Cricetulus griseus: one gene and its partners. The protein of the gene in region 2 interacts with the protein of the main gene of each other region in a biochemical or structural test. Links are inferred from orthologs where the notes say so. Each region holds a gene or a part of one and is shown on either strand. Other genes may lie near its edges.

The links.
Region 1: the proteins of Sgta (region 2) and Ubl4a form a complex in vitro, tested with the Homo sapiens proteins (3 studies listed by BioGRID, with this or other methods). The link is inferred for Cricetulus griseus from reciprocal best matches to the Homo sapiens genes SGTA and UBL4A.
Region 3: the proteins of Sgta (region 2) and Bag6 form a complex in vitro, tested with the Homo sapiens proteins (4 studies listed by BioGRID, with this or other methods). The link is inferred for Cricetulus griseus from reciprocal best matches to the Homo sapiens genes SGTA and BAG6.

What each region holds. Positions count from the first base shown.
Region 1 is NC_048604.1:1,347,331-1,351,074, forward strand, and holds the start of Ubl4a (ubiquitin-like protein 4A), read left to right. Parts: upstream 1-1,554; 5' UTR 1,555-1,668; coding exon 1,669-1,716; intron 1,717-1,876; coding exon 1,877-1,982; intron 1,983-2,232; coding exon 2,233-2,441; intron 2,442-2,557; coding exon 2,558-2,632; coding exon of another isoform or gene 2,633-2,668; exon of another isoform or gene 2,669-3,304; coding exon 3,305-3,421; 3' UTR 3,422-3,744. Other genes in the region: Slc10a3 (P3 protein), read left to right, coding at 1-708. UniProt on the Homo sapiens protein: As part of a cytosolic protein quality control complex, the BAG6/BAT3 complex, maintains misfolded and hydrophobic patches-containing proteins in a soluble state and participates in their proper delivery to the endoplasmic reticulum or alternatively can promote their sorting to the proteasome where they undergo degradation.
Region 2 is NC_048598.1:101,842,306-101,846,012, reverse strand, and holds the start of Sgta (small glutamine-rich tetratricopeptide repeat-containing protein alpha), read left to right. Parts: upstream 1-808; 5' UTR 809-964; intron 965-3,707. UniProt on the Homo sapiens protein: Co-chaperone that binds misfolded and hydrophobic patches-containing client proteins in the cytosol. Mediates their targeting to the endoplasmic reticulum but also regulates their sorting to the proteasome when targeting fails.
Region 3 is NW_023276806.1:231,665,140-231,668,783, forward strand, and holds part of Bag6 (large proline-rich protein BAG6), read left to right. Parts: coding exon 1-29; intron 30-413; coding exon 414-543; intron 544-918; coding exon 919-1,116; intron 1,117-1,304; coding exon 1,305-1,557; intron 1,558-1,757; coding exon 1,758-1,835; intron 1,836-1,950; coding exon 1,951-2,058; intron 2,059-2,174; coding exon 2,175-2,287; intron 2,288-2,375; coding exon 2,376-2,463; intron 2,464-2,746; coding exon 2,747-3,132; intron 3,133-3,644. UniProt on the Homo sapiens protein: ATP-independent molecular chaperone preventing the aggregation of misfolded and hydrophobic patches-containing proteins.

The DNA of each region.
Region 1 (3,744 bases), on a different chromosome or scaffold from region 2:
CTGATGGCCAAAGTCTTCATGCTACCTAAGGCCTTAGCTCTTGGCCTCATCATTACCTGCTCATCACCTGGCGGTGGGGGGAGCTACCTCTTCAGTCTCCTCCTTGGAGGAGATGTCACCCTGGCCATCTCCATGACTTTCATCTCAACAGTAGCTGCCACAGGTTTCTTGCCACTTTCATCAGCCATCTACAGCCGCCTTCTCAGCATCCATGAAACACTCCACGTGCCCATCTCCAAGATACTGGGGACTCTGCTGTTCATCGCCATCCCCATAGCAGCAGGTGTGGTAATCAAGTCTAAGCTCCCTAAGTTCTCAGAGCTGCTGCTACAGGTCATCAAGCCCTTCAGTTTTGTACTTCTCCTGGGTGGCCTATTCCTGGCCTACCACATGGGGGTCTTCATCTTAGTGGGAGTCAGGTTACCCATCGTACTGGTGGGCTTCACAGTGCCCCTGGTTGGCCTTTTGGTGGGCTACAGCCTAGCCATGTGCCTGAAGCTGCCAGTGGCCCAGCGGCGGACAGTCAGCATTGAGGTAGGGGTACAAAACAGCTTGCTAGCTTTAGCTATGCTGCAGCTGTCTCTGCGTCGCCTTCAAGCAGACTATGCCTCTCAGGCCCCCTTCATTGTGGCACTGAGTGGTACCTCCGAGATGCTGGCTTTGGTTATTGGCCAGTTCATCTACAGCAACTTGTTTCCTGTTCCATGAGGACCCTGGATCAAGTTTTATAACCCCAGCCCCCATACTCCATCCACTGTCCCCACAGTTCTGTACCAAAGGCCTTTTGTTCTCATGCACTATGCACTCAGACAAATCCAGGCTTTTTTTTTCCAGCTTTCAGTGCCAAAGAGGCCATGCTGAGTTAGAAATATATTTCAATAAAAGACAAAAGCAAGCTTGGGTCCCTTCCAGTCTTTGTCCCTTGGAGTGTATGGATGGGGATAGGAAGAGTGTGTCTGGGTTGATATGGACCAGGATGGTGAACAGGCTTGGTGACCGTGCACAGAGCCCACTCTCTCCTTCCTCTGTGCTTTGCACATGGTAGACAAGTGTTGTACCTTTGAGCTATATCTCCAGATCTGCAAAGGCTTTTCTCTATCAGAACAGGGCAGGACTCTGTTCTATAATGAGTGAAGAGATAGAGGCCTAGGTCCACTACTTTGGAGCCTCGGCCAGGATATTTTTGCAACCAGACTAGAAAGGAAGAAGTAGAAAGCCATTGGGCTATGGCAGGTAGGACTGGACCATTTCTGTATCTGAGAGACACTACTACATGTTTGCCCTGATGTGGTCCACCAGCAGGGTAGGAATTAACAGGTCAGGCCTTGCATGAGGCTGACATTCTGGTCCTTCCTTTCAAGCCACAGCTCCCCGGTGAAGCAAGCCTGACCCTACAGATTCCTCGCTCCTATCCCAGTGGGCGGAATGGCCCCACTTCCCTGCACCAAAGCCGCTGGAGGCTTGTGGGCCCAGGGCGGTGGACGCTACCCCAGGCTCAGGCAGGCGCAAAGGCCTGGAGGCGGGACCGGGCGGGAGCCACGCGGCGGGCTCGCCCCTTTCACGGCTTCCGGCGGCGGCGGGCGGTTCCGGCGCGCGCCCGGGGCAGCGGCGCGCGGCAGGGGACCATTGGGGTTTACATTGGTCCTAGTGGACGCGGCTGTGGGCATCATGCAGCTGACCGTGAAGGCGCTCCAGGGCCGGGAGTGCAGCCTACAGGTAAGGTTACCCTGCAGGCTGCTACACTCACACACTCCTGCCGCTGGGGCCAATGGCGGGCGGGGGAGGCCAGGAGAGCTAACCTCAGGAGGGGGCACTAGGGCTGCATCGCCCAGGGAATTCGGACTAAGCCCTTGCCTCTCCACCTCGGCCGGATCAGGTGCCGGAGGACGAGCTAGTGTCTACACTGAAGCATCTGGTCTCGGATAAGCTGAACGTCCCTGTGCGCCAGCAACGTCTGCTGTTCAAGGGCAAGGCCCTAACAGGTAACCAGGGAAAGGAGCCATCCAGGGACCCCCCACAGGAAGTAGGAAGTTGGAAGTTGGGGGACGGGATGTACAGGCCAGTGTAATGGATTAGAGCAGTGGCTGCCACTAAACCTTGGAAAAGTAGCTGAGACGCCACCACCCCATAGCCAGATGCTGCAGTGTTTCACTCTAGCTGTCCATGGCAGGATTGCTCTCTGGCCACCCCCACAACAATGAGGAAGGAACCCCACCAATCTCTCTTTGGCAGATGAGAAACGACTGTCAGATTACAACATTGGGCCCAATTCTAAACTCAACCTAGTCGTTAAACCTTTGGAGAAGGTGCTGCTGGAAGAAGGGTCTGCCCACAGACTGGTCGACTCCCCACCCCCACCCCTCTGGCAGCTGATCTCCAAAGTCCTGGCCCGTCACTTCAGTGTAGCAGATACCAGCAGGGTCCTGGAACAACTACAGAGGGTGAGCAGAATAATTCTGGACCTCCAATCTTAATGTTTCTAGCCCCAGCCCCCACCTATTACAGCATACCCCTTCCTGCTTGCACCCCCTGAACCCACCTGGTCTTCTCTTCTCAGGATTATGACAGATCTCTGAGCCGCCTAACACTGGATGACATTGAACGTTTGGCCAGCCGCTTTCTACACCCTGAAGTAACTGAGTCTATGGAAAAAGGGTTCTCCAAATAGCATTTCTGGGAGTGGGGGGAGAAATCCCAGGTCAGGCCACAGCTGCATGTTGCATTAAATGTGTTCTCATGTCGCAGTTTGGCTCATAGTGATAATAATAGCTGGTATGTACCCAGTTCTTGCTAGGTGCTAAGCACTACTCAAAGTACTTGGCCTGAATTCTCTTCTGCCTTCCACAGGACAGTTGAGGCTGCACTGTAGAAACACCTAGCAATGGCTTGGGACAGCCAGAATCCAAGTCTAGCCAGCTGTAGAAGTGCCTCTGTAGGAGAAAGAGTGTGTTGTTTTGAGGGATGGGCCTTAACATTCCCATTTAGCCCACTCAACATACACACTCAAGTGACTCCCTCAGGAAGCCACTAGTCCCTGTCACCTGTCCTCTAGTATGTCTGGCATACCCTTGGCAAATCTCCATAGGAAGCCAAGTGGTAGCCATCCAGAGTCCCTCTGCTGCTGCAGCCAGTGTGCTCTTGATGAATGACAAAGTCAGGGGCTGGAGGATCAGAAAGATACCCTAGCTCCGTTGTATGGCTTAAGTCAAGTTTCTGTGCCACTTAGGTCCCCTACCATTGAGTCTGTTAGTGGTGACCACTCCTCTGACCTGAATAAGTTTCCTTCCCTCTTTCCCGGCTCAAGGTGGGAGTCTGCTATCACCAACTGCAGTGCCATCTTGTGTTCAGTAAGCAAACTGAAGCCAAAAGTGAAGTGGTAGCCAAGCATGGGCCACAGATGGAATATCCTGGGCCTTTGTGACATAGCTCTTCTTGGGGGGACCCTATCTGCTTGGCTCCTCCTGGAAGTCGGTCTCATCCATGAGGGACAGCAGGTGACTCCACAAAGCAGTGTCACAACTAGGATTCTTCCTGGGTCTCCTCACCCAGCGTTCTCCCACAGCATGAGACGGATGCTTCCTCTGCCACCTGTGTACAGGGACTTTCAGTTTGCACACCTTCATTGCTTAAGAAGAAACTCAGGGTGCTGAGGAGGAGATAGAAATGTAAGCTGAAGACAGTGGTTCTTCTTTTCACTGAACCTATGCCTGGGTGCTAAAGGTCATGTAAGTACTAGCTCCTTTG
Region 2 (3,707 bases):
AAGCAGAAGTCACAGGGTTGCAAAAGGGTGTAGTTAAGTTTGTATCCTTTCCCTGTAAATGGAATTTCTGGTGAGATTGCTAAAAAATAGTATGTTTCCAGCCTGGAAGTAAGAAAAGCCTTAAACAATCGGTAATTCTCTGCTAGAGATGGCTTCAGCTGGATGTAGAGGTGACAGGGTCCTGTCTCTTCCCAAGTCCCTCAAAGGTGCCTGGCTTTTCTATTCTGCCTTACCACCCACTCCAAATCCCTAGACAAGCCAGGACACTTACTCTAGTAACCATAACGGTACATCCATGGTAAGCGGAAAGGCAGAAGCCTGACATCTCAGTACTCGGAGGCTGATGCAGGGGGATTGCCATAAACTTCCATTTTCCAAGATGGGATTTCTCTCTCTAAGACTAGGTTGTCCGGGCACTGCCTCTGCCTCCCGAGCGCCGGGATTAAAGACAGGGTCACTAACGCCCATGGAGGCGGCGATGGTTTGAGTCTAGCTTGGGCTGGGGGTGGCGGCGCTCGCCTGCACCCGCAGCACCCGGGAGATAGAGGCAGGCGGGTCTCTCAGGAAAACAGCCTAGCAACAGACAGTAGCTCCGATTCCGGGCTGTGACGCAGGGAGCTGCAGCACGTGACCAGCTCCGTGCCACGTGACCCGCCTCGGCGTCACCGGGGTCCGCCACCGCCCCGCCAGGCCCCACGCGGGCCCAGCTCGCGGCGTCTCAGACAGACTTCCGGTCTTCCGGACGCCGCCGAGGTCAGCTTCTCCAACGACCCGGGTGTGCCCGCCCCGTGTGACGCCACTTCCGCTCCGTCGCTTGGCCGGCGCTCAGGCGCACGCGCAGCACGGGCACGCGGAGGCCATGGGTTCCTTCTGCGCAGGCGTCGTGGCCCCGAGGGCGGGTCCTGTGCGCGCCGCGGTGCGCAGGCGCAGCCGTCGGTGGGTCGGGGCTTCGGTCGACTGAGAGGTGAGTTGGGGGGCTCGCCGTGCCCCGAGGGGCGTGGGCGTCGGTGGCTCGGGGTGCGCGGCGCTCGGGAGCCGCTAAGGTAAAGGTGGCTCGGGGCCCGCCCTCCGGCGCCCCACCGGTCACGTGAGCGGGCGGCGCAGCGGGGAAACTGAGTCCGGCGGCGCCCCCGGCGCTCCTTGTGGAGAGAAGGCCGGCGTTTGGGTGTGGGCCCTCCGCATCCTCGGGGTGCCCCGGGCTTCGCCGCTCGCCAGCGTCGTGACCTTGCTCTGTCGGTTTCCCTCCTGTGTCGAGTGGACGTGGTCACCGCTGCCGTTCCGAGCGGTGTGGTGCTTGTCGGGCACCGGGGGGGTGGGAGCGTGGGGTGGAGGGCGAGGGCCTCCGTCTGCCTGCGGTGCATACTGGGGCAGGTGGCTTGCCCTCTCTGGACGGCTGTGAGGCAGGTGTGCTGGCGCACTGGAGGCTGAGGGAGGAGTTCCATGCCAGCCAGGACTGTACACAGGATTCAAAAGAGCTGTGACCAAAAACAAGGGCCCTAGAGAATGGCTCAGGTCCTTGGTCCTTAACCTGTAACTCAGTATTGCATTTGGGAGGGTGTGGCACTTGAATCACCGGGACTTCAGGCCTAGCCTGGGCTATCTGGAGAGTTTCAAGGCCCAGCCTGGGCTATCTGGAGAGTTTCAAGGTCCAGCCTGGGCTACCTAAGAAGTTCAAGTTACATGGACCACATTGTGAGAACAGTTGATTTTAGTTTGTTGAGACAGTTTTTGTGTGTCCCTGGCTGTCCTTGAACTCTCTGTGTAGACAAGGCTGGCCTCAGACTCCCCCCTCTTCCCAGCATTAAAGTGTACCCCACTACACCTGACATCATAATTAATTTTGAAAAGGATTTTAAAATAGCCGGTAGTTCAGTTGTAAGCTGCCTGTCATCCCGTCCGTGGGAGGCTGAGACTGGAAGATGGGAATGAAGTTCGAGGCCGTCTTGAGCTACATAGTAGATCTTTGTCTCTCAAAAACCAGGCCTGCAGTTCCATGCCTTTATTGCCAACACTTGGGTGGCACCGGCAGGTGGATCTCTGAGTTCAAGGCCACCCTGGTCTACAGACAGAAACCGTGTCTCAAAAAAAACCCAAACAAGAAAATGAAAAAACACCACCTCCAATGAAACCAAAACAAGCCAACTGAAATTGTTGTGAATGTCTCTGTCACCCGGAGGGTAAATGTCCCGAAGTTTCCTTAGCTAGCATCCTATAGGCCTGTCAGCCTTGGTGGGGTGCTGGAGAGGACACAGGGTCCCCACTGGCTATTATGCTTTGGTCTGTTCCTGTCTCTGGTTATTTGTTTGAGTGATCTTTCCTTTTTCTGGCTATTCTTGTCCCCAGGAACCCTGGGCAGTGTCTGGGGACACTTGTGATTGCTGTGACTGAAAGGGCTTCAGACTTCTGACACTGAGTGGAGGTCAGGAGCGTGGTCCAGAATGAAGGGTGCTCCTGGTGGGGAGGAGAAGCAGCCGAATTTGGTTCCATACACCCACCCATGTAAAAAGCCATAAGTGGTAATCTCAGTGTGGGAGGTCAGAGACCGACAGGTCACTGGGCCCTCTGGATAGCCAGCCTTACCTTGTTCAACCCCATGTCCCAGGGTCAGACGCTGTTTTCTGTTTTTTATTTTTTTCTTTTTCCCCCCGGAGACAGAGTTTCTCTGTGTATCTTTGTAGACCAGAATGGCCTCAAACTCAGAGAGGTCCGTCCCTCCTGCCTCTGCTGGGATTAAAGGCGTGGCTTGTTTCCATTCAAGACAGGGCTGCTGCTGGGAATAAAGGCAAGCCTCACCATCACCCGGTTAGACACTGTTTCTAAAAAATGAGGTGGTATCTGGAGGAAGGACACCTAGGTTGACTGGAGTGTGAACACTGAAACCGATGCATGCATGAGCATGCCAGTAAAGAAGCATACCTGTAATTCCAGCACTCAAGGGGCAGACACGGGAGGATTGCCTTAGATTTGAGTTTCCCCTGGGGTACATAGTGAGCTCTAGTGTTAAAGATGAAACCCTAGCCCAGTGGCTCATCAGTATTGAGGCATCTGCACAGATTATGTGGGTCCCAAGATTGTGTGTGCACCTACTTTTGTGGGGTAAGGGATTATCTGTGGACTCTGCCCCTGGAGCCACTGTCTGAGGTCCCAGCTGCTGCTTCCTGTCTGGGCATTGGCTCTGTCAGGTGAGTTGTATTGCAAGCCCTTCCTGTTGTTTTGATTTGAAACTGGGTCCCCCTCATTCCAGGGCTATCTGTATGCTGGGTGAACACTGCCCACTGGGACCCAGTCCAGGGACCTCACCAGACTCTTCAATGGATTTGAGCCTTGTGTTCAAGCTGAGAAGTTACCACACTGACCTTGCTTGTAAACTTGTTGGGAGGGGGAAGACAAAGACATACTATAGGCCAGGCTAGCTTTACACTCTAGCAATTGTCCCCCTACAGCCTCCCATATGCTGGGGTGACAGCAGGAGGCCTGGCTATAAGTGGGAGGATGAGTCTTACCGGTTCAGTGTTCTGATGATCCCCAAAGTGCATGCACATACTGGTTAGCTGGGTGCCCAGAAAGTTCCAGTCCTACCAAAGACTTGAGCCAAGCATTTATCATAGCGCTTTCTGGCGGGGATTGTGACTCCCGGCAGGTCACCTCTGACCCACATCACCTACCAGCCATCCTGTGAGAGTCCTGCCCTGTATTCCTTGATCCTC
Region 3 (3,644 bases), on a different chromosome or scaffold from region 2:
ACACCTGCGCCAGAGACAAACGCACCCAAGTAAGAGATGGAGAGAACCTTTGTGGACTTGGAAGGCAGAGTGGTCATGGGTGTAGTGTGAGGACCAGGAAGGACATGAAGGGAGGAAAGTGGTTGCTGGGGGTCTTAATGGTCTTAGTGTTGTGGGATCAAAGGACATCTCTCGTGTAGCACTATTGTCTCTGAGGCAAGATGATCTGGATGCCTCCCGAGCTGTGGTTTGCAGAGGCCTAGTCTGGTTCTGAGCCCCTCTTTGCCTCCTTTGCACAGGACCATACTGGGACATGGGAGCATTGCTTTCTTCTCACCGTCCTTTGCTTGTCTTAGGAGAGCAAAGAGAATACCTGGGGAATGGCAGGGGGTCCCTGGGGACAGGCTCAGCTCAGTGCCTTGGTGTTTCCACAGCCACCCTTCCCCTGCGGAGCATGTGGAGGTGCTCCAGGAGCTGCAGCGCCTACAGCGCCGTCTTCAGCCCTTCCTGCAGCGCTACTGTGAGGTCCTAGGCGCTGCTGCCACTACAGACTACAACAACAACGTGAGCCTTGGGGTGGCCTTCTTCCCTCATACCTGGAAGCAGCAGGTTGAGATGCAGATAGCTCTTCCCTGTCCTCAGGGTTAGCACAGAAATCCCTCTCTCTAGACGAGTGGTCTGCGGTGATGGGAATGGTGACAGTCTTTGGTCCTATTGTGTCACTAATTGTTTAGGAAGCATACAGAGTGGAAAGGAATTATACCTGGTTACTTAACCTTTGCTGTGTTTTTGTGGAAAATTCTTTATGTATATTGAATAGAAATTGAAAATTGAAAAGCTTTGGTTCATGTAGATGCTTCCAAAGACAGAGGACATGGCAGTCTCAGAAGGCATCATCCCTATTAATATCCTGCTTTTCTGGGTTTGACCTGGGCACAGCATGAGGGCCGTGAGGAGGACCAGAGGTTGATCAACTTGGTGGGGGAGAGCCTTCGGCTCCTGGGCAACACTTTCGTGGCACTGTCTGATCTGCGCTGCAATCTAGCCTGTGCACCCCCCCGGCACCTGCATGTGGTACGGCCCATGTCTCACTACACGACCCCCATGGTGCTCCAGCAGGCAGCCATCCCTATTCAGGTGGGTTCACGGAGCCTGGCTGGAGGGAGAATGGGCAGGGTAGCATCTGATGACCCAAATGGCTGCTGGGAGGCTAGAAAGCAAGAAAACTGTGGTGACAGAGCATGTGGCATCTCTGGAGGTGGCTCTTGGGGTGGTCTGGGTTAGGCCCCTGTGTTTGTCTCATGTCTGCCTGTTCTCTCTTCCAGATCAATGTGGGGACTACTGTGACCATGACGGGCAATGGGGCCAGACCTCCGCCAACTCCCAATTCGGAGGCAGCATCCCCAGGCTCTGGTCAGGCCTCTTCCCTGCCTCCATCTTCTACCACTGTTGATTCATCAGCTGAAGGAGCTCCCCCACCGGGGCCAGCTCCACCACCAGCTGCCAGCCATCCACGGGTCATCCGGATTTCCCACCAGAGCGTGGAGCCTGTGGTTATGATGCACATGAACATTCAAGGTGAGCTGGGGGTAGTTGCTGGCAGAAAAGAGCAGCCAGGGCGGGAAAGGGCGGGAGGGAGGTGCTTTGTGGGAGGAGAGCCAAGCCTTCTTGTTGCAGGGGACAAAAGGGGACAAAAGGCCTGAGAGTGGTGATGTCAGGAGGTACGGCCAGGCCTTGGCCCTGCCATTCTTACATTTCTGGCTGTCTTTCCGGCTCAGATCCTGGATCACAGCCGGGTGGTGTCCCGAGTGCTCCCACTGGTCCCCTGGGACCTCCAGGTCATGGACAGACCCTGGGTAAGAATGAGGTTATCAGAGCAGGCTGAGAGCTCTGGGTAGAAAAGGGGTAGGGCTGAGTGGTGGGTGGGTTGAAGGGGTCCAGGTTCAAGGTTACATCAGACCCACCCCCCAGGCTCCACCCTCATCCAGCTGCCCTCCCTGCCCCCTGAGTTCATGCACGCCGTCGCCCACCAGATCACTCATCAGGCCATGGTGGCAGCAGTTGCCTCCGCGGCCGCAGGTAATAAGCTGGGAGGGGAGGCCTGGGAGGCGGGGCCTAGTTCATGGTGGTGGGTTTTGTCTGCTGACAGGCGGGGACTGAACCCTCAGCCCTCTTTGGTCTCTTTCTGTCCACAGGACAGCAGGTGCCTGGCTTCCCAACAGCACCAACTCGGGTGGTGATTGCCCGGCCCACTCCTCCACAGGCTCGGCCTTCCCATCCTGGGGGTCCTCCAGTCTCTGGGACTCTGGTGAGCAATGGTTGGGGAGTACCAGTGGGAAAAATCCTGGCGGATTGTGTGGTGGGGGGCAAGACTGAATGCTTTTCCTGTCCCCCAGCAGGGCTCTGGACTGGGTACAAATGCTTCACTGGCCCAGATGGTGAGCGGCCTTGTGGGGCAGCTTCTTATGCAGCCTGTCCTTGTGGGTGAGTCGTGTTCTTTCCTAGCTCAAACTTGCATGCTTGGGTTGCTATGAGTTCAAGAACATCCTAGACTGTTGACTTAATTTCTAAGATAGCTTGGGCTACTGAGGAAGATTTTGGGGCAAAGGGACATCCATGTTTACTGTGTTGATGGTCCTCTGTCCTGCTCTGTATGTCCTAGTCCTCATAGAACATCTTAGTTCTTGTTTTTCTGCTGGAAAGACTAGAACGGGCAGTTTTAATCTGGTTTTTGTACAAATTGTACTTTTTTTTTGGTTCCTGACAGCTCAGGGGACTCCAGGAATGGCTCCTGCTCCGGCTCCGGCTCCAGCTCCGGCTCCGGCTCCGGCTCCAGCTCCGGCTCCAGCCACGGCTCCGGCTGCAGCTACAGCCACAGCTCCAGCTCCTGCTCCAGCTCCAGCTCCTGCCACTGCTTCAGCTAGTGCTGGCACTACAAACACAGCTACAACAGCTGGCCCTGCTCCTGGGGGTCCTGCACAGCCCCCACCTCCTCAGCCCTCTGCCGCTGACCTTCAGTTCTCTCAGCTCCTGGGGAACCTGCTGGGGCCTGCAGGGCCCGGGGCTGCTGGGCCTGGCATGGCTTCTCCCACCATCACTGTTGCAATGCCTGGTGTTCCTGCTTTTCTCCAGGGCATGACCGATTTCTTGCAGGTGAGTGGCTGTCCTTCTGCCCTTTTGTCCCCCAGCCCAGTAGAGCAGTGGTACTTTATTGCCAATCTGTAGCTGCTGAGTAGCAGCTGTAGAGATGTGAGAGGGGGAGGGCCTGCCTGAAAATCAGCGCTGTCCCTGTTTCCTGGTCTGACCCATTCAGAGGCAGGGAGGTAGTTACTTGGTTTCTGGTTTCATGCCCTCTGTTGAGTGTCTGTCCCTGAGTGTTCTGGCTTAAGAAGTTAAGATCAGAGCCAGTTTGCTGCTCTTGCAGAGGGACCTGGGTTGGATTTCCAGAACCCACATGATGGTTCACAACCATCTGTAACTCCAGTTTAAGGGATCTGTTTCCCTCTTCTGGTCCCCATGGAAACCAGGCACACATGTTTCACAGACATATAGGCAGGAAGAATGCCTATACACATTAAATATAGTTATTAAAAATAGGTGGTGGTTGTTTTAAGTCAAGATCAGAATCTAGCTCTTGCTGGGCGGTAGTGGCGCATGCCTTTAAT